Linked DNA regions of Drosophila melanogaster. The protein of the gene in region 4 interacts with the protein of the main gene of each other region in a pairwise test. Each region holds a gene or a part of one and is shown on either strand. Other genes may lie near its edges.

Evidence for each region.
Region 1: the proteins of Prp6 (region 4) and AP-1-2beta interact in a two-hybrid assay, tested with the Drosophila melanogaster proteins (one large-scale study listed by BioGRID).
Region 2: the proteins of Prp6 (region 4) and DEF8 interact in a two-hybrid assay, tested with the Drosophila melanogaster proteins (one large-scale study listed by BioGRID).
Region 3: the proteins of Prp6 (region 4) and CG6357 interact in a two-hybrid assay, tested with the Drosophila melanogaster proteins (one large-scale study listed by BioGRID).

What each region holds. Positions count from the first base shown.
Region 1 is NC_004354.4:19,727,642-19,736,038, forward strand, and holds AP-1-2beta (adaptor protein complex 1/2, beta subunit), read left to right. Parts: upstream 1-3,362; 5' UTR 3,363-3,448; intron 3,449-3,733; 5' UTR 3,734-3,758; coding exon 3,759-5,183; intron 5,184-5,248; coding exon 5,249-6,589; 3' UTR 6,590-6,940; downstream 6,941-8,397. Other genes in the region: CG14234 (uncharacterized protein), read left to right, coding at 8,348-8,397.
Region 2 is NT_037436.4:12,129,066-12,135,458, reverse strand, and holds DEF8 (differentially expressed in FDCP 8 homolog), read right to left. Parts: upstream 3,314-6,393; 5' UTR 3,237-3,313; coding exon 2,483-3,236; exon of another isoform or gene 2,431-2,482; coding exon 1,706-2,430; 3' UTR 1,625-1,705; downstream 1-1,624. Other genes in the region: CG5645 (uncharacterized protein), read left to right, coding at 1-510, 571-734, 800-1,583; Lsp2 (larval serum protein 2), read right to left, coding at 3,944-6,049.
Region 3 is NT_033778.4:13,837,046-13,843,762, reverse strand, and holds CG6357 (uncharacterized protein), read right to left. Parts: upstream 3,711-6,717; 5' UTR 3,686-3,710; coding exon 3,458-3,685; intron 3,389-3,457; coding exon 3,119-3,388; intron 3,059-3,118; coding exon 2,789-3,058; intron 2,731-2,788; coding exon 2,446-2,730; intron 2,383-2,445; coding exon 2,116-2,382; 3' UTR 2,020-2,115; downstream 1-2,019. Other genes in the region: Syngr (synaptogyrin), read left to right, coding at 52-223, 427-479; CtsL2 (cathepsin L2), read right to left, coding at 4,545-5,274, 5,716-6,044.
Region 4 is NT_037436.4:18,903,413-18,912,055, reverse strand, and holds Prp6 (pre-mRNA processing factor 6), read right to left. Parts: upstream 6,685-8,643; 5' UTR 6,563-6,684; coding exon 6,465-6,562; intron 6,398-6,464; coding exon 4,879-6,397; intron 4,798-4,878; coding exon 3,844-4,797; intron 3,797-3,843; exon of another isoform or gene 3,771-3,796; coding exon 3,546-3,770; 3' UTR 3,513-3,545; coding exon of another isoform or gene 3,266-3,512; 3' UTR 3,082-3,265; downstream 1-3,081. Other genes in the region: Ir75d (ionotropic receptor 75d), read left to right, coding at 874-1,087, 1,370-2,075, 2,172-3,032, 3,266-3,512; CSN1b (COP9 signalosome subunit 1b), read left to right, coding at 7,262-7,294, 7,367-8,643.

The DNA.
Region 1 (8,397 bases), on a different chromosome or scaffold from region 4:
CTAGCAGGTCAGAGGTCACCGTTCGTAACCCCAAATGATATTGGCCCTCTGGCCCAAGACGATCCTTGCACAATGTCGGGATTTGCTCAGCCACACAGACAGACAGACGATAGACAAATTGACGATATTACGAGACACCTGACGATCTTGAACACTAACCTTATGCACCTATGATTCGATATTGTTGTTTACATATTTATGCTATGCATTTTATACGGCGCCTGGACGCGAGGTTTTACAGTACAGTACGCTCTGCCTACGGCCGTCCCGTCTTACACACTCTTTCGAAATGTTATTTGTTTTTTATTCTAGAGCTCGCGCTAAACTAAAACTCATTTTTAAAGCGGCATTTCGCATTCGTTGTAATACAATTTATTTTACTAATGGAATACGAAGCAAAAATTATACAAATATGCATATATATTTATAAAAATTACCATATAGACGAATACCAAAGAATACCAAATATTTATTGAACTATTCAAACTTAAACCAAGGATAAAACCAAAGCAAGCATAACTACAAATATGTATAAACACAATGATATTTAAACCAAAAGCAAATATGATAATGAAAACATTTATGTACAAGTACAAGCATACTTTTTTCCACTTTATATACTATGTACAAGCAAACCATGCATAACTATTTTTAGCTAAATTACAAGTATGGCAAGTTAAAGCAAAATCAACCTTTTTAATAATAATAATAATACTTATGATAATTTATTCCTTTTGTACTTCACGACTTTGTACAGGAAAGAATCCGAATAGCGAATATCAAAGATTGCAACAAAAACTCAATAACCTAGGGCTAGCCCTCGATCTTTCGATCTAGCCCCGCAACAGAGAAGAACACTATTTATATACAAAACAAACGTACCGTCTAAGACATTCGATTCTTGATTTCAACCTATGTATGTATGTATTTCGTTCGAGTCCATTCATTTCCGTTGAATCTGTTAAATTTCGAGTGCCAAATCAATGCACCATGCACTTCTTGAACCAGTAGACCGAAACTAAACGAGTTCCATGTTCCACTCACTCAATATTAGGGTTTTCGAAGAGGAGCTTTCCGGACCAACTACTTAAGATATAGTGCCACCCAACGGTCCTGCACCACGTAATATTTATCTATGCCTTTGTTCACCAGGACTCCCTCTACTCGCTTCAAAACATCAGAACCGAACACGATTTGTACATACACAACTTATACGTACATACTACCAAAGGTGTATATTTTTATGAACAAGACACTAGAAAAATGCAACTAAGGGAAACGAAACTCAGATACAAATGTAACAACTAATGAATAACATATCCTACCACACAGCTTAAAGTTGATATACAAAACGTAACGGAGCTCAGCGAGCCCACATTCATCGGATAGTTTCGATACCCGATCACCGATCGCCGATAACCAATTGCTAAAGTCCCGTTCCATGTTTTGCTTTCGTTAGTTACCAAGTTGGGTCAAACTTTGCTCATTTCCTTATGCGGACTACAGTGCTCATCGGCGAAAAGGGCTCTCAATTATCCGCTGAGTGTGCGCTCCGAAGAGTTACAATCCGTACTATCCGTACTATATGTACGGTCACCCACATAAATAGGCAATACCAATAACAAATGACAAATGTTACAGTACAGGCAATCCAGTAACTGCGGGCTGAAGCTGCTCGCTCTTCCACCTTTCGTTTCTTTCGATACCACCAAATTAAGATAAATGTTATGGGAATATGATAGTTTTAATAGATTTTCTACAGTTCCAATTTAAAGCGAATAACAACCAAGTCAACATAACGTGCAATATATATATTGATAAGTGTAAAGGGAAAACCAGAAGCTTCCGTTAACAAAAGTATGCATTTCACTACCACATATTGTTTCCGTACTTTTTTAATCCCTCGAACGGAGGATAAAATCCACTCCAAGGTCTATGCTCACTCAGAATCAGAAAAACTGGATAGGCAGAGGACGAACAAACCTAATCGCATCCACAAACACGCATAGACACGCACACAACAAAAAGAACCGGACAACAATAAGAGCAGCAATAAAAACGAAGATAAGGACGAAGAAGACCGTTCACTTAGGAGCCAAGCCTGATTATGAAAAAAAAAAAAACGAAATCGGAATAATCCGCATTTCATTGTTTTATTGATTCGAAATGGCTTTGGACGATTGTTTTCTTATTGATTGATTTTCCAGCTGAATATACCGGACCTAAGTTTTTGTTTATTTCATAAGACTGAATTACTGGAATATGATTTATTTAAACGTGTATATAATTAAGGTGTAATAGCGAACTTTACAACTTTTACTAATGAAACATCAAAATTTTTAAAGTTATTCCGAACTTATTTATTAAAAAAAAAAAAAAAATAGATGAAAGTGAGGAGAAGAAAAGAGGATACAAGTGATGAGAAAGTCGTGAGCGAATGAAGTTAATATGCAACTATTAATATACAATTTATATGGGAAAATCCCCATGTGAAAATGATGATATATATATATATATATATATATGTATATATATATTTCAATGGATCGATAAAAAGCAAATGAAATGAAAATGATGTTAAAATATAAGAAAACAAAACATTTTTTAATTCAATACTACTCTTGATTTGTTTTATGTGTTAATAACTTATTAAATGATATTTCTTGAGAATATTAAAAAATAAAATTGTTAGGATATTCAATTATGTTTATTTCAATGGGGGATCACGGAAGTCTCGGTTTTTGATAAGGCATCGAACAATTAAAAATTTCTATTAAAACATTCGTACATAATGTACTTTCCTTTCAGACTTAAAGGAGCGCATTTTATTGAAATAAATATTCTATTTCATGTTACTGCCGTCTTTCATTCTAATTTAATATTGAAAAAGGATATTGACATCAATTTTAGGTGAAGATATTGAACTTTTTAACATAAATAATTTGTAAATACAATTGAAAATTAAATTTTGTATAACATTATTATAAATAACAAAGTTAGCCTGTTGCTTTTACGATCCGTTACTTTTCAGATGTAATATAGCCATCTCACTCTAATTCGCTATATTGCTCTCTGGTGAGAGCGTCGACTTCGTTTTTCATTGAGATTTCAGTTTACTTCATTGGCTGTCCTTTATTTTATATCTGGAAAAATCTTCTGCATGATTTTCCTAATCTGAGCTCTTTTACGAGTAGGATATGTTGACCTTGATCAACACCAATTTCCAAAAAAAAGGAATTTAATGCACCCACTTATTTAAAAATGTTTCGATAATAACACAAAACATCAGTTTGCGATAAAATCGCAAAAACTAATCGATTTATCAAAATACTAAACAGAAAAAATACCAGCGCTTCGACAAGTCACTCCCCTGTAAACGGTCGCACTAATTGCAGATAGAAGAGAAAAGCTAACAAATCTTTGTGCCCGAAAATCAACTATTTGAAAGGTAATTAAAAGCAAGCTGCGTTGGCAGAAGTCTCCCCAAGTGGGCATAGGCGCAGTCCAACTGAGGGCTTCTTTTTCCCCTGGCCAGTTCTGAGTCATCCCGAAAATCGGGCCCCTTTTGAGACGTGTTCAAGCTGCGATAGGGGCGAATGTGTTGGTATTCGGATGATTCCGCCCCCAAGATGTGGTGTGGTGTTGTGAGGGGGGATTGCAATCAATAATCGCACTTCTTGTGCCGGAAACTCCACGTTCCCCTCTCTAAACTCAATCTCGATTCCAATTTCAGTACGCAGCTAGGAGCAGCAGCCACGATGACTGATTCCAAGTACTTCACCACCACCAAGAAGGGCGAGATCTTCGAGCTCAAGTCGGAGCTGAATAACGACAAGAAGGAGAAGAAGAAGGAGGCGGTGAAGAAGGTGATCGCCAGCATGACCGTGGGCAAAGACGTGTCCGCCCTCTTCCCGGACGTGGTCAACTGCATGCAGACGGACAACCTGGAGCTGAAGAAGCTGGTCTACCTTTATCTGATGAACTACGCCAAATCGCAGCCGGACATGGCCATCATGGCGGTTAATACGTTCGTGAAGGACTGCGAGGACTCCAATCCGCTTATCCGGGCGCTGGCCGTGCGCACCATGGGCTGCATTCGGGTGGACAAGATCACCGAGTACCTGTGCGAGCCGCTGCGCAAGTGCCTGAAGGACGAGGATCCGTATGTGCGCAAGACGGCCGCAGTGTGCGTGGCCAAGCTGTACGACATTTCAGCCACAATGGTGGAGGACCAAGGCTTTCTGGACCAACTGAAGGATCTGCTATCTGACTCGAATCCCATGGTGGTGGCCAATGCGGTGGCCGCTCTTAGCGAGATTAACGAGGCAAGTCAGTCCGGCCAGCCCCTCGTGGAGATGAACTCGGTCACCATTAACAAGCTGCTGACGGCGCTCAACGAGTGCACCGAGTGGGGCCAGGTCTTTATCCTGGACTCGCTGGCCAACTACAGCCCGAAGGATGAGCGCGAGGCGCAGTCCATCTGCGAGCGAATCACTCCGCGTCTGGCTCACGCCAACGCCGCCGTCGTTTTGAGCGCCGTCAAGGTGCTGATGAAGTTGCTCGAGATGCTGTCCAGCGACAGCGACTTTTGCGCCACGCTCACCAAGAAGCTGGCTCCGCCATTGGTTACGTTGCTCTCCTCAGAGCCGGAGGTGCAGTATGTGGCCCTGCGCAACATCAATCTGATTGTCCAGAAGCGGCCAGACATTCTCAAGCACGAAATGAAGGTGTTCTTCGTGAAATACAACGATCCCATTTACGTGAAACTGGAGAAGCTAGACATTATGATCCGCCTGGCCAACCAGAGCAACATCGCCCAGGTGCTTAGCGAGCTGAAGGAGTACGCCACCGAGGTGGACGTGGATTTTGTGCGCAAGGCAGTCCGCGCCATCGGGCGATGCGCCATTAAGGTGGAGCCCTCAGCCGAACGCTGCGTGTCCACGCTGCTTGATCTTATCCAGACCAAGGTCAACTACGTGGTGCAGGAGGCCATTGTGGTCATCAAGGACATCTTCCGCAAGTACCCCAACAAGTACGAGAGCATTATCAGCACGCTGTGCGAGAATCTGGACACTCTGGACGAGCCGGAGGCACGCGCATCAATGGTTTGGATCATTGGCGAGTACGCAGAGCGCATTGACAACGCGGACGAGCTGCTTGACAGCTTCCTTGAAGGATTCCAGGTAAGTTTTTCTCTGGATTTGCCAACATTATCAGGACTTTGAATTGCTATTTTCTCTTTCGCCAGGATGAAAATGCACAGGTGCAGTTGCAGCTGCTGACGGCCGTGGTTAAGTTGTTCCTCAAGCGCCCGTCGGACACCCAGGAGCTGGTGCAGCACGTACTATCATTGGCTACCCAGGATTCGGACAACCCCGATCTGCGTGACCGTGGCTTCATCTACTGGCGTCTCCTGTCCACGGACCCGGCCGCCGCCAAGGAGGTGGTGCTGGCCGATAAGCCACTCATCTCAGAGGAGACCGACCTTTTGGAGCCGACATTGCTGGACGAGCTCATCTGCCACATTAGCTCGCTGGCCAGCGTTTATCATAAGCCTCCCACCGCGTTCGTGGAGGGTCGCGGAGCCGGTGTGCGCAAGTCGCTGCCCAACCGAGCCGCTGGATCTGCAGCTGGTGCAGAGCAAGCAGAAAACGCAGCCGGCTCAGAGGCAATGGTCATTCCCAACCAGGAGTCGCTCATTGGAGATCTGCTCTCCATGGATATCAACGCACCCGCCATGCCATCTGCTCCGGCCGCCACCAGCAATGTGGACCTTCTGGGCGGCGGTCTTGATATACTCCTCGGTGGACCGCCAGCAGAGGCGGCTCCCGGCGGTGCCACCAGCCTGCTAGGCGACATTTTTGGACTGGGCGGAGCAACGCTATCGGTGGGTGTTCAGATTCCCAAGGTCACATGGCTGCCAGCGGAGAAGGGCAAGGGACTCGAAATACAAGGAACGTTCTCACGCCGCAACGGCGAGGTGTTCATGGACATGACTCTGACCAACAAAGCCATGCAGCCGATGACTAACTTCGCCATCCAACTGAACAAGAACAGCTTCGGCCTGGTGCCCGCGTCGCCCATGCAGGCTGCTCCCCTTCCACCCAACCAATCGATCGAGGTCAGCATGGCCTTGGGCACCAACGGACCCATTCAGCGCATGGAGCCGCTCAACAACTTGCAGGTGGCCGTGAAGAACAACATCGACATCTTCTACTTCGCGTGCCTGGTGCACGGCAACGTGCTGTTCGCCGAGGATGGGCAGTTGGACAAGCGCGTGTTCCTCAACACCTGGAAGGAGATCCCCGCCGCCAACGAACTGCAGTACACCCTGAGCGGTGTAATTGGCACTACCGACGGCATCGCCTCCAAGATGACCACCAACAACATCTTCACCATCGCCAAGCGTAACGTCGAGGGCCAGGACATGCTCTACCAGTCACTCAAGCTGACCAACAACATTTGGGTGCTGCTGGAGCTAAAGCTGCAGCCGGGCAATCCGGAAGCCACTCTCAGCCTCAAATCGCGCTCCGTGGAGGTGGCCAACATAATCTTCGCCGCCTACGAGGCCATCATCCGTTCTCCATAAGCGTTCCATGGCGCACATCCGATGGCATAGGATAAGCACAAAGCAATTGGAGCTATCGATTTGCGTGTGTTGAAGATTAGCTCAACAATAAGTTGTAAATTTACGTATTATTATTATATTGTGTATTGGCCGAATCGCCACCTACATATATTATTTATGCATATGCACACATATAAAATCCAATCGGGTTCGTCGAGAGATCTGTTAATTGTTAATCGGAGCTGCTTGTCACTCAGTGTACTAACGTGTAATAGCAACGTTGCATAACCGCATTCCAAAACTCTGTAACCCCATATGTCCTATGGTCGGCATCTATGTATATGTTTGTGTCCTAGTAAAATGCGAAACACTAAATAATTGTGACATTGTTTTCCTCGACGGCAGTTGCACTAAGCACAGTTTCTATTCGCTTTCAATGGTCATTTCTACAAGGTTCCAAATACGCATGATTATGATTTATGATTTTAGTATTATAATTAAAACTGTGTATTATAATATTTGTCCGTTCGTAAGCCTGAAAGATTTTTATACTTTCAGCTCAAAGTCAAAGTGCATCAAAGTAAGTTTTCTAAGTCGAAGATCTGAGAAAATAATTGCATCAGTTAGGTTAAAAGTCAATATATTGATCAATATTTAGGATCATTAAAATCCAAAACTAGGCTTGAAACTCAAAAGTTAGATTTGAAATATCATATTTACTTGAAAATTCGTTAAGGAGAAAGAGGTTTTCCTGCTGCAAATATAGAATCCATCAGATAGGAGTTGCAAAGCGCTTTTCCCGCGCAGATCAACTTTGCGTCAAACTATGGCCACGCCCACATTGGCCCACGTATGTAAGTGGAGCATTCTGTAGCGATTTGTACAGACACCCAAAGCTATCGAAGCTACCGAGGAGTCAAACCATATCCCAAAGCTTTGCTTCCATGTTTACAGGGATAACCATGTTGTATGCAAAGGATATACATATATATATATATATAATGGATTCCCAACTGATCATGCTGGTCAGTGGAAAGATTGCAGCAATTGGTACTAACTGAGGCACCCACTTAGCAATGGTTGTAATGGGCTCATCAAGACAGCAGTGGACCAGTTAAGGGTATAAGCGGAATGTGGTATACCTGGTCAGGGATGCGAAGGATGGGTGGTGGCGTCGAGCTTCGGCGCCTGAGCTTTCGAAGCTTTCGCGCGAACCCTTCGGGGGTTGTTTGGATGCCTGTGCGACCAACGAGAGCGCAAGAGAGGACAGGCTTGCCCATCGAGGACGTGGACGTGTAGCCATCCCTGTCGTGGCCACAGGACACACTGACTGTTTGCCTGCTCCACTGTTTTCCTGTTGTACCACAAGCTATTCTGGCTTGGCCCCGATTGTAACGAATCCGTATCGCACGTCGCAGTGCGAAAATGTGTGCAAATACTGCAATGTACCCGCAGTAAATTGGCCGCAGGATCGCTTGACACTCGCTGCAAAAGGACATCCAGGTGCTACGCCCTATTTCGCAGTCAATCCAGCCAGGTGGTAGTATAGGTGTACAGGCATAGGTGTAACCAACCATGCCCCTGCGAACGGTGCAGGAATGCGGAGTCCTTTTGTGCCAGTGAAGAGCAACCAACACGAAACAACGCCACGAAGAGGACAATCCGCCAGTGCTGTGTAGAAGAACAAGAACCAGAACAACAAGGACAAGACCAAGAGCATCGAGTACACCAGATCGCAGATTCCGTTGAGAAGGGTCCGCCAAAAATTAGTCCGCCGGAATGAGGGTGGCGGCGGACATGGTGTATGACTACGGCAGCGAGGACTCCAT
Region 2 (6,393 bases), 6.8 Mb from region 4:
TTCCGGGACGAAGAACTCGAGGAGGACTTTGACCCGGCGGCCCACGATCGTCGAATGCAGGAGCTCTTCGACGATGAGTACTACAATGTCGATGAAGGCGAGGAGAAACCAGAATGTCCCTCGGATATCGATGAATTGGTGCTGGAAGATTGGGATAACTACGATCCTAGACAGCACGCCAATGGGGGCGGTGAGGATTATGAAGGACACTGCGAGGACGACGACTTCAACATGGATTGCGACTACGATCCGTCCACGGCCAAGGAGCAACTTCAACAAGAGCTCATCGAAAACACTCGTGGTCGCAAAGGACGAAAGGGTAGACGAAATCGCTTTATGGAAATGATCCAGGCGGAAAAGCCTGCATTCAATCCTGAGGACGAAAAGACGTACAGTGAGTACATCGATGAGTACTACCAAATGGATTGCGAGGACATCATCGGGGATCAACCGTGTCGATTTAAATATGTGGAAACCACACCAAACGATTTCGGTTTGACGATAGAAGAGGTACATTTTCGATTAGCTTCGTTAAAGTTGAACAATGATATTATATTTTCTGTTGAATAGATCTTGCTGGCCAAGAACAAGGAGCTTAACCAGTGGGCTAGCTTAAAGAAAGCTGTCCAAAACAGACCGGAACACGTAGAGAAAAAGGAGCAGCGTCTCTACAAGATGAAAGCCAAGAATGAAGACCTTAAGCGAAAGATATTTAAGAGTCTTTATGGAGAAGGGTGAGTAACTTACAATAAAATTTCGATTTCGAACGGGTGTGTATTAAAACTTGACTCTCATGCAGTTCTGACGATGAGGAGCAGCCAGCAGAAGAGAAACCAGAAGTGACACCAGCTGAAGCGACAGCTCCAGCCGAAAATGGTCAAGTCTCGACAGAAGGTTTGTCCAAATCAAAGAGGAAACGCCTGAAACGTAAGGCTGCCGCAGCAGCAGCCAGTGCTCCTAAGGTTCTAAAAGAAGAAAGTGACTCCAAGGATCCAAAGGAAGCGGATGGATCTACTGAAGATGTCCAGGCAGAAAGTTCTAAGAAAAAAGTCGATACTCCCTCTAAAAAGGGCAAAGATGACGCAAATCAGGAAACTAAAAACAGTCCACAAAGCACGGAGAAAACGAAAAACAATAATGCCTTAAAAAATAACAAAAAAGAGCCTAAAAACGTGCAAAATGGATTCCAAAAACCCCAAAATCAAGCAAATAAAAGTGCAAAGACAAAGTCGAACCAACCATTTAAAACTACGGAAAGTGCGCCTGCAAAAGCAGAAAAATCAAATGGTAATAATCCTTTCAATAAGCCACAATCGAAATCCCAACAAAGGCAGGAACTGCCACCAATTCATAAAAATCAAGGTGGAAACAAAAAGGGACCGAGAAACGCTAACGGCACCAATCCCTTTAAGAAATCAAACCAAAAGCCAAGTGCACCCTTCCCAGCTAAGAAAACGAACAACTTTAAGGCGAAAAACAAGCAAAATAACAATAGTGGAATAACCGACGATCGATTAAAGGCATATGGCATAAATCCCAGAAAATTCCACAAGCGGGAAAAATATGGAAAAAAGGATAACTAAAGAGTTATGATAAATCTAAGAATAAAAGTTCATATATAGTTATACATTTTATAGTTACATTTTATGTACATATGATAACATATTAAAAACCAACACAGCACAATGAACTCTGATTTGATCAGTTATTCTGCGGCAGTCACGTCATCATCGGTGGCCACTCCATCATCATCATCATCATCGTCCTCGGTGCTCTTCATGCGATCCAATTGAAGACGCCGCTCTTGGATGCGAATGCATTTGGGGCAAATCATATTTTTGCGCGTGAGGCAAACTCGGTGGAAGATGGAATTGCACTGATCACACTTGATGCAGCCATCGTCGAAGGGAAAGATCACCTCGTTGTTGCTACAAATCTCGCAAATGTACGCTTGGGCAAGGCACATGGGGCAGGATCGTATGTGATCATTGAATGCCTTGAAAACTCCTTGCAGAAATTCGCTCAGCGCTCCAGATTCCACCTGGCTGAGATCACTTAGGGAATAGAACTCATTTGACTGGGCCAGATGTCGCCGGACACCCAGTTGCTGATCCACCAGCTTCAACTCGCTGGCAATCTTGCAGGCAGCCAGATAGTGGCGCATATGCACCAGATTTTGGCGAAGTTTCTTTACCGCACACAATTTTTCTACGAACACAAACAGCTTGGGATTGTCCTCCTCCAAGCGAATGAGCGGTTTATTTAGGAACAACCTAATCTCTTGGAGCGCCGTGCGCGACACTCTGCGTGGCGAAAAGTCCCAATTGTGGATAATGCGGGCTGGTATAAAGTTACTGTCGTTCCAGTTGCAGCGAGGGCAGTAGTACAATCCACTATAGTCGCATAGACGCGGCTCAATCCAGGTATTTTCTACGAGGAAGGAGTCTAATTATTCGGAACCAAAAGAGTAGCCTTAACTTACTTATATTTAGCATCGTCCCGCACTCGGCGCACTTGTATCCCTGGGAGGCGAGTCCGATTTCTGGACATATCTCCGAAATGGGATGCTGCCGCTCTGAAACCAGGACATGGGCACAAACCCTCTTCACGCCATCGATGCACTTCTGATGGACCAGGAATCCGCAATCGCTGCACACGTACGAGTTCTGCACCACACTCCAAATAATGGTGGTGCAGTGGTCACAGTAGTTCCTCTTGGCGGCTGCCTGCAGACGATTCCGTTTGCCATGATGCGGGTGATGGGGCACAAAATGATGACCCACCACAGCACGTATGGCATTCATAACTACCATGTCCGACGATAGGGAATGCTGCTCCTGGGCCTCCTCCAGCTCCTGCAGTGAGTATCGCAAATCTACCAGGTGCCGCACCAACCAGCGACGCTCCTCGCTGAGTTCCTCGCTCAGCAGGACGAGATCTCTGCAATGGGCGATGGCCGCCTGCAAATCCTGGATATTGGCATCGCTGGTGAAGATTAGGCGCCATTGCTCGCGCACCAAGGACGCGGGAATGGGCAACGCCCTGTACTCCGCACCTTGTGGACCACTTTCCTCGGAGCCTCCGGCCTCGGATCCAGATCCAGTGGAGCCAGAGCCTCCAAGGCCAACTGTTGATCCCAGCGTGGATGAGGCGTGTAACAGGTTGCTGGCGCTCTCGTTAATCAACTGCGCCACCGTGCCCGGAATGCTCGTGAGACTGTCCTTCCAGGAGCTCATTTTTGGGGAAGAACAACAAAACAAGTCTTTGTGTGTTTTTTTAGCGACCAGGGATGCGAGCAATTGGTGCAGATGAGCGAACTAGTTATCGTTCACGGGGCAAACTGCAGGTGGTTGTACGCATCCCTGGAATGCACCTTAATACAGTGAAAGAAAAAATGTGAGGGTTAATTATTTATAAATATTTTGAATTTAACTTTTAATATTTTTAAAATATGATACAATTTGAAACCATATTCTGAAATATGTCAAGCGTGGTTTGCATAAAGCAAATATTTTTGTTACCATATTTTACCATTTAATATTAAATTGTAATTTAAGAAATCTAACAATCTATTGTGTTTATTCCAGATAAAAATGCCTATTTTTAACTTGAAAATTCGTCTGCTAAAAACTGTAGGCTTTAAAACTAGTATCAATAAGCCCTTTATTCTATTGTTCCTTCTATTTACATATATTCTGTAAGTAGAGGAAAATAACTAGAAAACCAAAAATATATTTTGAAAAATTGAAAAGAGAGTGACTTGTGTTGAATACGTTTATTGTTCGATGGTCACAAGGTGGACTGACAAGCTGGGTAAAAATTGAGTTAAATTACGATCTCTATGGGGTAAGTGGATGCAGACAAAGATATAACAAGGAAAACATATGTAATCTATCCAATATCGTTGGTTCGTTTTGGGGTTCGTATTCGTTGGGTCCAGGATCTAGACCACATTGGTGTGCTCGTCGCGATGGAAGATCTTCACGTCGACGAACTTGAAGTTGTGGACATCGAAGTAGTAGTCATGCTTCACCGGCCTGTTGAAGGGGAAACCGAAGGGCAGGGCGTCCACGTAGCGGGAACCGTGTCCCACGCCGCAGCTGACCACCGGATCGTAGCCAGTGAACTGGGCAACCTCGGGCTGGTGGTACGGGTAGACCATGTAGAAGAACTGGAACACCTGGCCGCCCTTCTTGCCGCGCGGCAGCATCATTCGGTTGGGCACGCCGCAATGGGCCTCCGACTGATCCAGCTTGAACTTGTAGTCACTGTTGGTGGCGTCCATCAGCTTCTGGTAGAGCTCCAGGTAGGTGGTGCGATCGTTCACCCAGAAGGAGAAGTCACCGCTGGCGCGCTTGATGTGGTTAACGCCCGCCTCCAGATGCACCTTGAAGTGCTCCAGCTCGAAGAAGTTCTGGTAGTTGTGCTCCAGTGGGATCTCGTGTCCGTGCTCATCGTACTTGGGTCCAATGAAGACCTTCACAACGGCATCCTGAGCCTTGTCCGAGGTCACGTCCAGGGTGAACTCGAAGGGCTTGTGGTTGAGACGCTGCTGGCGGGCCTTGATCACATAGCTGGATCCCTTGTAGTGGGAGTTCCTGCCGAAGGTGTACAACGGATCGGCGGATCCCTCAACGGCGGGCTCCACATTGACGGCATTGCTGATGTCCGAGTCGAAGTGCTCGAAGTAGGTGGTCAGACTTTCGGGCATGTGGACGGCATCGATGTGGACACCCTCGAAGGCGTAATCCTTCTTGTGGTACTCCGGATAGGTCTCCATCAGATGCCAGTAGTGGCTGACAATGGTCTTGTATACCTCGTAGAAGATCGGATCGCGCATAGAGGTGTCGTAGTGCATGAAAAGGCCAGGGAAGCTCTCGTCACCATGGCCATAATGGTGGCCCTCGTTCACAATGAAGCGGTACAGCTTGTCAAGACTGCCGTAGAACTTCTTGTCCACGCTGTCCGCATTGCCCTGGATGATGTTGCCCAGCACATTGATGGTCTCCACATCGAACTTCTCGTTCTTGTGGATCCAGTCCATGACACGCTGCGTGTACATCTCCACATGCTCGATGTGCTCGTAGTTGTGCTCGTGGTAGAAGCTGTGGTGATTCTCCCGGTGCCATTGGGGTACGCCGTAGTAGGTGCGCAGGTTACTGGCATAGCCGGATTCGGTTGGCACATACATGTTGAAAGCGGGCACCTCGCCGAGATCGTGGGACAGACGCTCCAGGTACCAACGGGCCAGCAATTGCCAGTGGACATACAGGTAGAGCTCACCGCGACGATCCTTGTTAAGGACATGCTCCTCGCCGCCCTTCGTCCAGAACGGATAGTCCAGATTGAAGTAGTAGTAGAAGGCATTGAAGCCAACATCCTCCAGGTAGTAGGCCAAATCGTGATCGTAGTTCAGGGAACCGTGCACGTTCGAATAGTTCGTACGGATCACCACGTTGTAGATGTTGTCCATCTGCTTGACATGATGGAAGCCGTGCATTTTGTAGTGCTCAGCCCATTCCAGTGCCTGGCTATCGAAGTAGCTCCATGGGTGGATCTCGTAGTGGGCCGGCAGGACGACTCCCTGCATATCATCACGGAACAAACTGGCAATGGTCACGGCGTACACGAACAACTGCTTGTTTACGTGCTGGCGGGCCCAGTAGACGACGTGCTGGAAGGTCTCCCAGTTCTTGGCGAAGTAGAAGAGACGCACCAGACCCACCACATACTCCTCGTGCTTGTCGTACATCACCGACCACACCATGTCATCGGTGAAGGGTTGGTGTTGCCACAGCTCGAAGAAGTGCTCCAACATCTCCGGGTGCACATAGTCGGCCACGTGCTCCCACGGCTTGTACTCCACGTAGCTGCCCCCGAAGGGCGTGGTGAACACATCGTCCTGGTAGATGTGCTGCAGGATCTGGTACATGAACTTCTGTTTCATCAGAAAGTCCTTGTCCGCCACCTTGGAGTCCAGGTGCTTGGCCTGGCCGAGAGTAGCCAGCAATGCCACTGCAGCTAACGCAATCACCGTGAACGACTTCATCTTCTCGAGTCGATTCGAATCGTAACGCTGCAATGATCGGTAGCCAGTATTTATACCCCCGGATCGGCGATACGCAGATTGCAATCCGGCCAATGACCGGTCGCATCCGTAGCCTTGATCCGCGCCATCGCCGGATCTGAACGACCCGCGAAGCTCTCAATCTTAGCGCCCATGCTGCATCCATAATTGCAGGTGATAAGACCGACGATTAGGCGGCCATACCAAGATCAATCCTACATCATTATCTAAATTCAAGAGTGAGCCACTAGAAACTGGTGGTTAGGTGAAGCAGCTGGAAGATCCAGTTAAGATTTCCTCGCTCCAGAGACACCTTCTCCAGCTGT
Region 3 (6,717 bases), on a different chromosome or scaffold from region 4:
TCTGCATATTTGGTTGGAGAAGTTTCCTGATTTTTGGGCTTCTTTCTGCAGGCTCTGTGCGCCCTGATGGCTTACAAGCGTTTCCTGATCGGCGCCGGCGATGAGTTCACCTCTGCCTTCGAAACGGATCCCGCCAACGTGGTCCACCAGCAGGCCTACGGCTACTCCATGGACAACGACAACGACCAGTACAGCGCCTCACCATTTGGCCAGCCCCAGCAGGGTAAGTTCATGGTCTAATACAATGCCAAAGTATAAGTTGGGATATAAGATGGGATATAAACTTGCCATTCCTAGATCATTATGTACAATATATTGAAAGTACCTAATCATTCTTAGTTCTTAACTGATGTTAACCATTATAATATGTAATCTGATGATTCTCCCACACTTGGCACCTGATTAATCTGAGTTTTTCTCCCGCAGGTGGCATGGAGCAGCAACAATCCGGAATGGAGTACCAGCAGCCCACCTATTAAGGAATTACCACACTTGCTCCTCCGTTGTCCGCACACACTCACTTCGATTTTGTAGTGCAACTGGCAAGGATTTACACGACTAAACAGCTACAACACACAAGTTGGCTTTAACCATATACACCGATGTCGAACATATAACAAGAGTAACCAAAACAATAACACTTGATGCAACAAGCAGGCAGCAAAAGCAGCTGAAACCAATCCAAGCACTGGCTTTAGCTATTGGAAGAGTCAAGGGATATATCCAAACCGATCCGATCCGATATGAGATCGGATGGGATGAGATGGGATGGTTCGGATAAGGAGTAGTTTGAATAACTCGTAAGCTAGCCCTTTAAGTTGAGTGTGCAGTTTTTTGTAGTGGAAATTTGTTGCAATATATATATATATATATATATATATATATATTATACAGATATACAACTAGTTATATATCCCATATGTATACATGCAGACCGCGCTTTCAACGTTGTTAGTTATTTAGTGTTTACGTGTACGTACCATTTGAATTGATTTGAATTGATTTGTTTTGGTGCCAGACCCTGGTCCCCCCGATGATCAGCTTGTTAGCAATGGCAATAGCTCGAGACAGAGGAAAACATGATGTTTTTTTAGATAAATTTACACACGTGCAGTGCAAATAGTTGATGCAAATAGTTGATGCGATTCGGCCACCTGAAGGACATACATATGTACGAACCACACTGCTCAAGCCACATATCCAATTTACCATCTGAGATTTACCCAACAAATATAGAACCTGTGGCCAGGGTCGATGCTTGGTTAGATGAGCAGCAAATGCAACCACTTACAATAAACGCCAAACAATATGTAAATTCTAAACCATAAGAGATTCAATAACCGTAGAATTGTTGTGAGGGATTCAGTACTCGGGAGATTACTGCAGGAATATTTCTAGTTATGGTTCGCAAAAACACGCTGAAGATATGAAATGGTATAGGGCTTGTTCAAGGCTTACTGTTGCCACCCCCTTCCTACCAAAAGATTTGTATAGTAACTATAAATGCCCCAACAATACCCATTATGCATTGTAAAGAAGCGGTGTGTTGTCCACTTCGATGTACTCAGATATCAATGAATGTAAACATATTGATTACATAAAAACGTTCACTTAGTGCAGCAACTTGCGATAACCTACAAATGTATTTGTTAAATTAAATACTATATACATATATATTATATATATTTACGGATTGTATGTGTAATACGAATAATGCGCCCTGTTAAATGCAACAAGGAGATAGGGATCTCAGCAAATATACAAGTATAAATTAATCATTTAGAGTTCGTGTGCGTTATAAAACAAAAAGGTAGTGAAAGAAACATAAAACAAAATTTACTCATTTAAAACTTAATGATCGATTTAAATAGCGAACCCAGCCATAAAATCGGCTTGAACATTTGCGAAACACTATTGTAATAGATAAACTCCTCAAGCAAGATTCTCAACTGGACAGCCCCTCAAGAAATAATAATAAATACATATTTTTAAAAATTAACCCAAAATCACTAAGGTATTCTCTTTGCGTTAGTAGCAATATTTTTGCGTGTATTTAAAAGGTGACAAACATTTCATCTGAAAATGTACTCGGTACAATATCTTATCATCTAGTTTTTAAAAAACATTTTTTTTGTATTTCTTCTCCTTGCTTATTTTTGTAGTCGTTTCTTCTTTTGAAAACTCTGGAGCTAAATTAGGTCGTTGTTTGGTTTTCCACTCTTCTACAGTTAGATCACTCCACTGATTTATGCCCTTCTTGAAAGATTCCACTCCCAATTCGAACTGCTCATTGTGTTCCTGAATCGCTTTCCAATTGTCGCAAAATATAGTTCGGCGTTTTTCTGTTTCTTTTTCATCTTGATATTTCGCACCGAAATCAATCTGTAATAAAGATATATTCATTCAAATTCTCAAATTCTATTTACATTGCAAGCCAAATATTACCAAAAACTTTTTCCATGCTGCCTGACATGTATTATCATCCCTCTTATCCTTAGATATTTTTGTAGTAGCTTCAACTTTAGAAAACTCTGGATTAAAAGCAGGTCGTTGTTTGTTTTTCCACTCCTCAACGGTCAAATCACTCCACTGATTTATACCCTTCTTAAAAGAAATATTTCCCAAATCGAATTGAACATTGTGCTTATGTATCGACTTAAAGTTGTCGCAAAATACATTTCGTCGCTTTTCGGTTTCAGTATCATCTTGATAAGACGGCTTAAAGTCAATCTGCAATTGATAAAAGCAACTTTAATAAAAATTCTTTAAATACCCAACCATATCTTACCAGGAACTTCTCCCAAGCCGGCTGGCATATGATATTATCATTATCTATTTCGGATGTAGATGTAGTGGCTTCTTCCTTACGAATCTCGGGAGCAGGACTAGATCGTTCCTCAATAGTATGATCAGTCCACTGATTTATGTCCCTCTTGAAGGGCTCTGCCCACTTTTCATACTGCACATTGTGCTCCACAATCGCCCTCCAGTTTGCACAAAATACATTGCGGCGTTTCTCGGTTTCATTTGCATTCTTATACTGCGCTCCAAAGTCAATCTGTAATTCATATCATACATATTAATACCAAGTTGGTTTTAATAACCTAGCTAATCTTACCAAAAACTTTTCCCATGCAGCCTGGCAATTGACTTTGTCTCGCTCCTCCTTTGATGATTCACTAGCGATTTCTGGCATAACTTTGGGAGTTTGTTTCTCTTTCCACTCTTCAAAGGTAAGATCACTCCACTGGTTGATACCCTTCTTGAAGCTGACAACTCCCAAATCGTATTTCAAATTGTGATCGCGAACTTTTTGCCAATTTTCGCAGAATATATCACGTCGCTTTTGCCGTTCGTAGTCATTATCGTAGTGTACATCAAAGTCGACCTTGGAGTGTATACAAATAACTTCCTTGAACGATACCCTTTCTTGGAATTATGCGATCAAAAAACTTACCAAGAACCTTTGCCATGCAAACTGGCATTCCTCCTCGAACTCAGATAAGCCAGAGGTGTGTTCAATTGTGGGTGTCGATGAGTCAGCGTCGCTTTTCCCAGTAGTAACCCCAATCTCTGGATTGATTTTTTGTGTAGCAGGTGATGATGTGCTTACTGGTACGCCCAGAGCCACGCCCATCAAATACAGGAGCAGTGGGACGCCAAGTAAAATTCGAGCTGAGGTCATCTTGAACACTTTTCTCGTACTGCGCTCCGCACTGCCAGAATCGCGAATTATATGGGGAATACATACATATATAATTGCAAGTACTCAAAATCAGCTGCATTCAGAGAGAAATCTAAATAAAAACCGACAACGAGAGCGATTTCTTTTGCTCTCTTTTCTCTTAAGTGTTGATCTTTTAAAAGAGTAACTGCATTTACGTGACCTTGCCCACCAAATATATAACAACTGGCATAATTGCTTTATGATTTGTTGCAATAGTATTGAATTAAATTAATTTGAAATTTAAGCCCCGTTTTTATACCCATTACTCGGCGGGAATACTAGGCTCGTTGATAGGAATGTAACAACTACATTCTAGATATGTATGTGTTTTCCACACAAATGCTGTAAACAAACGTTACGCTGCTTGCAGCTTTTTCTGATTAACGGGTATGCATTAGTCGTGACACCCGACTGTAGCGTTATTTCTTGTTTATATTAAATTTGTCGCAAATTTACACGGTTATACGGTTATGTGTGCATTGTTCATTTTCTATCCACTTTGCCAAATTGAAATTTATTACTTTCTCAAACAACTTCCCACACAGCGTTGTTCTTCATTAAGAAAATGTTTCTCAAAAAATAAATAAGACCGAAAATTAATTTTTGTGTGCATAGCCGTTAAGACTACGATCCAATTTCTCAGAATTTCCCCAGAAAGCAACACAAACCGATAAGGCACTTGTTTCATTTATTAACCGCGTGACTCATGGAATCGATGTGGTGACCCACACAGCTTACGACTACAGTAACAAAGTTATAAATTCGTGGTTTTTAATTGACTATACTATCTAACTAATTGCATGGCGCAGTTGTGAGCCTACAGAATGGGGTAGCTGCACTCGCTGGCGATGCCGCAGAATCCACCTGCATTCCGGAGGATGCGCATAAAGCCGCCCTCGCCCCAATTCTGAGAGTACGAGTTCTTGATGATCCAGTAGTCGCGTCCATTTTCCGTTCCATAGCCCACCACGGTTACCGAGTGATTCAGTTCGCCCTGATTGCACTCCTCGTCCTCGTAGATGCCACCGCTGTACTGCTCAAACGAAATGGTGTCCGCGTTCATGGAGCACGCCAACGGTCCCAACGTGGCAATCACCTCCTTCATCTTCTCCTCATCCCCGGGAGTAATGGTGGCATAATCGCGAATTTTCACCAGACTCTCGCGCGGTGGACGTCCGGCGGTTTCGTTCTGACGGCACTGCATCTCCGTCTGTGTGTACGGATATTTGTTGGCCAGCGTTACACCGTGATCGCGTATGTACTCGAAACCGTACTCCTGGAAGCCACCGTCACAGCCCATGTTGCCGTAGTCATCGGCACAGTCCACCAGATTCTGCTGCGACAGCGAGGCCAGCACTCCAGTCCGCCGGAATAGATGTCCTTCGAGCGCTCCTGTGGTGGCGAACGACCAGCAGGCACCGCATCCCACACCCTGGAATCCCGGTGGCGTCACTCCGCCCTTCTCGCGCCAATCGAACATCTCGGGAAGATTGGCACTCGCCGGATTCCTGGCAGTCACAAAGTTGATATGGCCATTCGTATATCTCCTGCAAGGTAAGTAAAACATTTTAGTATTCCGTTAAGCAAAGATTAAAGCAAATTAGTAGCTTACTTAAGTGGCAACCAGACTACATTTAAATGTTATTCATAATGTTCTTAAATGTATGACAAACAACCGATAAGTTATGAAACATTTGTTATGGAGCTTCGTCGTAATAAATAAGTTCGATATGGAAGGGTTTTGTTTGTTTCCACCCATTTGGTTATAGTTTTCGGGAAACCACAAACCTATGGTCGGAATATTTGATCAATTCTGATTTCTTGATTAGCATAACCGGGAAACCAATCGGCACCTACGTAACGTTACAAATCATATGGACGACGATACCGAAACCCGTTTGAAAGTTATAAGCTGGGTGATAATTCGTTTATGGCCAAAAAGGGGACTTCCCCCGAGCTCTAGATATGCGTAAGATGGTGCTACTTACTCGCCAAATTCGGAGATTTTGGAGCCCAGCAAGGTGGCTATCTCCTTTCTGGTCATGTCGGCCAGCGTATTGACGCCCAGCCGGAATCCGGACACGCCGTTGTCGGCGTTCTTATTGCTCAGCGTGATCAGCGACATCTTGGCCGCGAAGATGCTCTCGCGATAGACTCGCTCCTCATCCGAGTACACCTTGCCCGTCTGCCGGAGGAAGTCGTCGAAGTTTTGCACATCGCAGAGCTTGGGAAACGACTGCAGTTGCTGCAATGACACAGCACCCAGCAGGGCCAGTCCCAGCGTCATCTGCAGCCACATCGTTGAGCACATCCGCATCTGGAACGGTGGACAGCAGAGCGAGTGGAAAGCGTTAGGTAACCACTTGGCCAATACATAGTTACACCATCCCATCCCATCTCATCGCATCCCGCGACCCCTTTTCATGCCCCTTTTCTTGCCACATCTATCTGTCAACGTTAATCACTTGGCCGCAACTCGACCCGTTCATTCACCTCCAATCGAACCAACCTGCCGTGCAGATCGTGAAGTTTCCTATAAGTGGAGCCGCTATAAATATTTATTTATGGACATATTAAAAGCAACGTTGCTTCCTAGAAAATCTGCACAATTTGAAAACAGGCCACACTCAAAATCTATGCGTTTATTCGATATTAAAATGTTTATCCAGTAGATACTTTTTATTGGTAAATATTCAGTGGAGTGTCTTCATTGACATAAGAAATGATGTTATGTCTTTTTGAGTAATTTGAGTAAGTACAATGTTTGGCAAAACCAAAATAAAACAAAGAAACTAATAAATTGTTTGTTTAACAAGCTTGGTTTTGAAGAAACTAAACCGTTTAATGATCGCCTATGCAGAAATCAACATTGTTTCTAAGACAATCAAAAACATAATGATCGATTAAACGAATAAAAAACTAATTATTATTGGTTTTTTCTATCACGCTGACTATCCGCTTCTGTCAGCAATCGCGTTAATGGGTAATTA
Region 4 (8,643 bases):
ACGCTTGATCAAATTTGCTTATATTTTGCCATCTTACTTTTTGCAACAGCTTTCTTAATTGCTTCCTAATGCCTTCATGCCTTCGGGCCAAATACAGGCTCTTAAACTGATTTTAGCTTATTTAAAGTCAGATTTATAAGGAATAATTTGCATGTTTAACTTTTCTAAAAGCTAACTTTTTGAGGCTGCGAAAGATTAATTTTCTCTTGTGCGAGAATTCGAAATTAAATTAAAATTTTAAATAATTTAGTTACTAATATTCAAAAAAAATCATCAAGAATATTTTTATTACAACTGGTAATTTATGAAGTAATTTATGAGTAATTTATTTACCTACATTTGAAAACAATTACTGTTCTCATAGTATAATAACCAATTCACCGATAGAACCAAGTAAATTGGCGAAATTAAACCCTCTGCAAAACTTTCCAATTCCTTTTGGCCCTAACTTATGTGCTTATCCCAAAGCCAAGTCCAAGTCTAGAATGTCGAAGCAACTTTCTCCGTTCCGGTCGTCGTTGACACGTAATTGACTTTGTCCGCACTTCCACGCGGACAATTTGTGCGCCACTTGCTCGGACCAATTAAACGCCATCGATGACCAATTGCAGTTGTCGCAAAATTGCTCGCGAAGATTGCCCTGCGTAATGACAGCAGATGGGTGCACGTGGATGTGGACGTGGATGTGGACCGAAAGGAAGCGCAGCGGAGTGTAATCAATGCATAATTTTAATGCAATTCTTGAATGCAATTACTGGCGACTGCCCTTTTGGCTATAAAAGCCGGGGACTCCAATCCGTGAAAAAAAGCGCGTCGGGGAAATGCAAAAGCGAAAGGACGGACAGCAACTCGTTAATACTCGCAGTCGCAGTGATGAAAGTTCAAGTCGCGCACTGGCTCCCTCTGATATTTTTCCTGCTCGTCAGTGGGACACCACGTGTCGCTGGCAGCTGGCGGAGCGAATATTCCCGGCAGGATCCGGACCCGAAAACACGGTGGGGCAATCAGTTGCCGGATATGCTAGTCGCTTACTATCGCCACCACGGCGTTCACAGCCTGATGCTGGTCGTTTGTCACACGGACATTGGTGAATTAACCCTCTGCATGCAATGTGCTGCTGGGGACAAATTTATGACCCCACAGTACACTGGCCAAAATGAGCTTAGGAAATCCATATCTCACGTTTGAATTTGCCAAAGGCCTAATTTCACTTAATCCTTATTATTTGAAGTTGGTCTGAGCACATTAAAACCATGCTACTTACATAAGCAAAAGTTTTTACATTAGATATACCGTTCCATACTTCTAGACACCTCTATTAATCGAATACTAAATTTTGTTTTCTCTGTACTCGTTTTTTCCCCTCTAGCGGATTTTCGCCTTTGGAAGCTTTGGCAGCACTTCAACCTCAACAATTTCTATGTGCAGGTCAGCACGGAGAGCTCGCTGAGGGACCTGCAGCATGTCGATGCCCTGGATGAACATAAGGACGCTCCACCGCCGAAGAGTTTCCACGCCAACAACTCCACCCACTGGGAGACGTCCTTCCTGCTCCCCGCATTGCCATACAAAATGGGCATCCTGCTGCTGGAGTTCAGCAGCGAGTGCGCCTTAAATCTACTCCGCTGGTCTGCGGCCTCGGAACATAATTACTTCACCACCAACCGGTTCTGGCTGCTCCTCACCGAAGATCCAGGCGATATCGATTTACTCGAGGATCCGGAAATATTCATTCCCCCGGATAGTGAGTTGCGGGTCCTTCATTATGAAAACGTTGGCAACTTCTCTTGCAGTTTAATCGATCTATACAAGGTAGCTGCTTGGAAGCCTTTGAAAAGAACCTTGGTGGGGCACAACATTCGAAATTCGCGGCACGTCATTCATGCCCTGCAGCACTTTGGTTCGGCCATAACTTATAGACAGGATCTGGAGGGCATAGTATTCAATTCGGCCATAGTAATTGCCTTTCCGGATCTATTCACTAACATTGAAGATTTGTCGCTGAGGCATATTGACACTATATCGAAGGTTAATCATCGCTTAATGCTGGAGCTGGCCAATAGATTGAATATGAGGTTAGAAGGATTTCCTCTTGTTGTCTTTTTAGATCAAAAACATTATGGTTCTTGAGTATATATAAATACACAGGATCGAACACTTTCCATTTCCAGCTACAATACCTACCAAACAGTGAACTACGGATGGCGACAACCAAATGGATCATTCGATGGTCTCATGGGACGTTTTCAACGCTATGAACTGGACTTGGCCCAGCTGGCGATCTTCATGAGATTGGATCGTATTGCATTGGTCGATTTTGTGGCTGAGACTTATCGAGTGAGAGCTGGGATCATGTTTCGGCAGCCACCTCTCTCGGCAGTGGCCAATATATTCGCTATGCCCTTTGAGAACGATGTGTGGGTGTCCATTTTGATGCTACTGATCATCACGACCGTGGTCTTGGTTCTGGAACTCTTCTTTTCGCCACACAACCACGACATGTCCTACATGGATACACTAAATTTTGTTTGGGGTGCTATGTGCCAGCAGGGTTTCTACGTAGAGGTGCGGAACCGATCGGCGAGAATCATTGTCTTCACCACATTTGTTGCAGCTCTCTTCTTGTTCACCTCGTTTTCGGCCAATATTGTGGCCCTGCTGCAAAGTCCGTCGGATGCTATCCAGTCATTGTCTGATCTGGGACAATCGCCTCTAGAAATCGGAGTTCAGGACACGCAATATAATAAAATATACTTCACCGAGTCCACAGATCCCGTAACGAAGAATCTTTACCACAAAAAGATCGCGTCCAAAGGTGAAAATATCTATATGCGCCCCTTGCTAGGAATGGAGAAAATGCGAACCGGCTTATTTGCATACCAGGTTGAACTCCAGGCTGGTTACCAAATCGTCAGCGACACCTTCAGCGAGCCGGAAAAGTGCGGATTAATGGAACTGGAGCCTTTTCAGCTGCCCATGCTAGCTATTCCAACAAGGAAAAACTTTCCTTACAAGGAGCTCATTCGAAGGCAGTAAGAATATTTTATATATAAACATAGTTTCGCTTTCCAATTGCATTTTACATTTAAATAAAATAGGTAATTTATTAAATTTTATACTAAAAATCCAATAGTAATTTAAACGTGTAACTAATCAAAATATGCCTAATTAAAAATTTTACAGGGATAAAAACCCTTTTATAATTTACAATTCAATAACTTGTTCGAAAAGAGGAAATCATAAAACACTTTGTTTTAACCCACAGACTACGCTGGCAGCGAGAAGTAAGCTTGGTGAATCGCGAGGAGCGAAAGTGGATTCCTCAGAAGCCCAAATGCGAGGGCGGAGTTGGCGGATTTGTCTCCATTGGCATTACAGAATGCCGGTATGCTTTGGGGATCTTTGGGTGTGGAGCTGCTGTCAGTTTTGTCCTGTTTCTTTTCGAGTTTATCTTCAGACACTTCAAACAAGTTTATCGCATAATTAAAGGCTATAGAGAAGTGCAGCGCTAGGCTCCACGCGTTTAATCCAAACACACTTAAAACTTAGATGGGTATGGATAGCTCCCGGACAACAGCACGCAGCACCTCAGGTGTCTTGAACTGCCAGTTCTGGATGTTCTTGCTGACCCGACACCAGGACTCGCCGTGCGTGGGCTCTGCAGAAATGCACCGATCGAGGACCTCCTGCTGCTGCGCCTCCGTGCCGTGGAGTAATTCGAACTTGTAGAAATATGCCCAAGCATCACCTAGATCTGGATCGATCTTGACCTGAAATAAACAAATGATTAGCTCTGAACATGTTTGTTTCTATTACATTTAATAGGTAGTATAAATTACTTACAGTTCGATTAAACCAGTCTCGGCACTTAGAGAACTTGTGCTCAGACCAGAACAGTTTTGATACAGCTAGCAGCACATGTGGATCGTGCTCGCATTTCTTGAGAGCATCCACTGACTTGGTCTTTCGCTGCGGCTTGGTTTCCATGAAGATAGCCTCCGCCCATAGCTCACCAGCGTTGGGACATTCCTGCAGTGCTCTTGCCATCATTGTGCTGGCAATCTCCTTGAGGCCCGCACGCAGCTCCACCCTGATGGCCTCCAGCCAGAGCACAGCCACTTTGGGGTTGCGTAAACGTCCTCGTTCCAGAATGGATCGAGCCTTCGTCAGCACTCCTTTGCGCTCTTCTAGATTGGCGGAAAGAATCCAAAGTGGGATGGACGTAGGACACTTTTTCAAGCCCAGAGTATAGGTGGCAGCCGCATCATCTGTCCGTCTCTGCTGCTCCTCAATCTGACCCTTCATCATCCACAGTTTGGGGAAATCTGGGAACACTTCCACCGCCTCCTCCAGCAACCGCAGAGCTTCGTCGAACTTTTCCAAAGCCCATTCCAGGCGAGCTGATTTCATCATCACCCTTGGTGTCGGTGCCGATCCTCTAGCCTTGGCTAACAAGCGTCTCGCCCGCTCATATTCCGAGTTCTCTGATTCCAACTTAACGGCAGCCAACCAAATGTCCTCGGAATTGGGATTGGCCTGGAAAGCCAAGGACAAAATGCCTCTCGCGGCTGGAACGTCTCCAGCCATCCATTTGGATTTGGCCCCCATCAGCCAGAGAATCTCCGATTTAGGACAATGAGCCACGGCTCGCTGCAACAGGGCCTCCAAAGATTCGCGGGTGCCATGGTTCTTTTCAAAGTAGGCGGCTCGCAACCAGATGCTTTTCTTCGAGGGAAATATTTGGAGGGCATGAGCGTAAACAGCTCGAGCACACTCAAATGCATTTTCCTTTGCGCACTGAAAGAGGGAAAATATAATACGGTTATTTTGTTCCAAAAATGTTACAAATTTGAAAAATGAGTGTTTCTTAATACTTACGAATTCAGCATCATCAATCCAAGTCTGCTTGCGATCCTCCTCCTCCACTCCTATTCCAATGACAGCCTTAACAATGGATTGGCAACAGTTGACTGCTCCTGATTTTTCCGCCTCGATGGCCTCCTGGAACCACTGATCACGGTTGATCTCCACTCCGTTGACGGTAAGCGAGGTCAATGATCGATCAATGATCTTTTCCACCATGTGAATATTACCATTGGCCTCCTCCAACTTAGCAGCTGTGGTCCAAATCTGGCGATCAGTGGGAATATTCTCGCGAGCCTTGTTTAGAACCTTTCGGGCGTTCTCGTAGGTTTCCAAGCGGGCGAGAGCCAACCAAAGTTCAACGCTGGTGTTGCAGCACTCCACGGCGCGAGAGAGTAGAATCCGTGCATCATCAGGATTCTCGAGTTCCACAGCCGCCTTCCACAGACGAACTGAATTTGGAATATGCTCTAGAGCTTTTCTGAAAACTCTACGCTTAGCTTTGGTCTCCGATTCCAGATCTGCGGCTTTAATCCAGATCCTGACCGAGGTAGGAATATGACGAGCCGCTTGCGCGATCACCGCTTTGGCTGTATCTGGCGGCTGAAGGCGAGCTGCTTCCAGCCAGAGATCCTCAGACTGGATGTTCATTTCGCAGCCCCGCATTATCAGATTCCTCGCCATCTGAACCTTGCCAGTCACTTCTTCCAAACGGGCGGAGGCAATCCAAGCTGGTGGATGGTTAGGATTCGTTTCCCTCACACTCTTGAGCAACAAACGAGCCTTCTTGATGTCGTTTATGTCACCACCATAAGTGGGAATCATACTCTGCAGGTCGGTGAGATAGCCCTTGGGATCCACCACCGTTTGGCCTGTCACGGAATCGGAAACCTGCGAAAGCTTGACGTTCATAAGAGTGTTACGAGCCTGGCCAATCTTTCGCAGATCAAGATCACCCGTAGGTGTCAGCATGCCTGGAGTAGCTACGCCAGGCACCATAGAAGCCAAGCCCGAGGACGGATCCAACGTAGAGGACGACTCGCCGCCAAGATTTCTGGATATCAAGCTGTCCGGCAGAGGGGTAAACTTTTCGGCCCTTGGATTTCGTTGCTTTCTGTTTCGACTGTCGCCCACTTCAGGAATCGTGGACCACTCCTCCGATGTGACACTGGCCAGTGAGCGTTTCAGGTCACTGAACTGCTGCTGGATCTTCGGTCGCTCCTGGCGGTACCGCTCCAAATCCTCACGCAGCCGGCGATCACGATACTCTTTGCGCTTTTCGTCCATTCGCTTGTCTATCGAATCGTAGATAGCGTCCGCCTCCTCGTCATCCTTGTCGTACGGATCCTTGGAGAACAGGGAGCCGCTGTAACCACTAAACTCGTCATAGTTTGAGTCGTTCAAGTCTTCGTCCTCCTCCTCCTCTTCGTCTTTTTTCTTACGTTTGGTGGCCGGCGGAGCATGGCGGTCGTCGGATACATCGTTTGCATCACGGGCAGGACCAATATCGGACCGAGTGGTGAATCCTGTCGCTCTAAAATAGAAAATATACCATTAGCATTAAGTTTTGCTTTGCGAGATGCGCGTTTGGTAGTACTTACCCACGACCGACGCCGGCAACATAGCCCAATGGGGCTGGGACGCCCAGGAAATGCTTTTTGTTGCGGTTGGCTATAACCGCCGCCGTTATGTTGGACATCGTGGCTTAGTTCTATATTAATATTATCTACTTTATTTAATAAATTTCACAAACAATTGAAAGTTTTCTAATGCGTGGTGCGCTTCTTCTTCTGAAATTAGGGATGGGAAAAATATATCAATTTATCGATATATTAAAATAAATGTAAATATTTATATCGTGATAGTTTTTCTATGATATATCAAATATCGCTCTTTCTGTAAAATATTTTATTGGACACATGTGGATTCATAAAAAACTGAAAACTAAGTTATTATTCTTAAAGGATCACTAAATTATTATATTTATGATGAAATATCTGATGATAAATGATAATATATTATGAAATGTCAAGAATAATTTGTTTGGGTACTTTATCATTTTGATAATTTTTTTAAATGAAAAGTGTCTGATAACGACCTGTAGTCGCGGATTATAAAAGTATTTGATATCGGAACTTAGCCTAAAACCAACTATCTTTGTTAAATATTTTTAAACTGATATCAGTGTTATTTTTTGTTATATTATTTGTTGGAAAAGTGGAAAATGGTCTTCTACCATACAGTTGTCATCTATCGATCAAAAGCGTTGTTCACATTGTCCATCTCTAGATTATCGGTGTAAAATAATTTGCGAATCGGAAAAATTAATTGACGAATAAACAAAAACGTAGCTTAAATTTTTCATTTTCCCTGGACTTTCGTTGCAAATAGAAGCAGGATGCCCGTGCTGCCGATGCCACCACTCATGCAGGTAAAAAGTAACCAAAAATGCGTTATCTGAAGCCATATAATCAGCAAAAATCGCTTATTACTCCAACAATAGAACGCCGTGGAGCCGATGCAAGTGGACATCGCGCCGCCGAACGAGGACAACGAAAACAACGAGGAGCAGCAGATTGTGGTGGAGAACCCCAGCATCGATCTCGAAGTGTACGCCAACCAATATGCCGGGATCGTGCGGCTCCATCGCCTAATTTATGTGGCGGACGTCTGCCCGGTTTTAGCCGTGGAGGCTCTGAAAATGGCCATTACTTACGTTCAAACCACCTACAACGTAAATCTCTACCAAGTGCTGCACAAGCGCTTGAGTGATCTAAACGCTGGAAATGCGCCTGCGCCACCAGCAAATGCTGGCGGAGATCAGGCAGGAGCAGCGGCTCCCGGTCCCCTGGCAGCTGCTCCCCTTCCGGATATCGCGGCACAACCTGTGGCTCAGGCTCAAGGACAGGCTCAACCCGCTGTCGAAAAGGATGCCTTCGCCTACGATGCCGCTTGGGTAGACACCAAGATGAAGAAGGCGGCTCTTAAGCTGGAGAAACTGGACTCAGACCTCAAGAACTACAAGTCCAATTCGATCAAGGAGAGCATCCGGAGGGGCCACGATGACCTGGCTGACCACTACCTCAGTTGTGGCGACCTCACCAATGCCCTGAAGTGCTATTCTCGGGCCAGAGACTACTGCACTAGTGGCAAGCATGTGGTAAACATGTGCCTTAACGTGATCAAGGTGTCAATTTATCTCCAGAATTGGGCCCATGTGATGAGCTACATATCCAAGGCGGAAAGCACCCCGGACTTCGCCGAGGGCTCCAAGGAGGCTAATGCCCAGGTTCATACTCGCCTTGAATGCGCTGCTGGTCTGGCGGAACTGCAGCAAAAGAAATATAAGGTGGCCGCTAAGCATTTCCTCAATGCTAACTTCGATCACTGCGACTTTCCCGAAATGATCTCCACCAGCAATGTGGCGGTCTATGGTGGCCTCTGCGCCCTGGCCACCTTTGATCGACAGGAGCTTAAGCGTCTGGTCATCGCCTCTACATCCTTTAAATTGTTCTTAGAACTGGAGCCCCAACTCAGGGATATTATTTTCAAGTTCTACGAAAGTAAATACGCCTCATGTCTGACGCTTCTGGATGAGATTAGGGACAACCTGCTGGTTGACATGTACATTGCGCCCCATGTAACCACTCTGTATACCAAGATACGCAATCGCGCGCTAATCCAGTACTTTAGCCCCTATATGTCAGCTGATATGCACAAAATGGCCATGGCATTTAACTCGTCGGTGGGCGATCTGGAGAACGAGGTGATGCAGTTGAT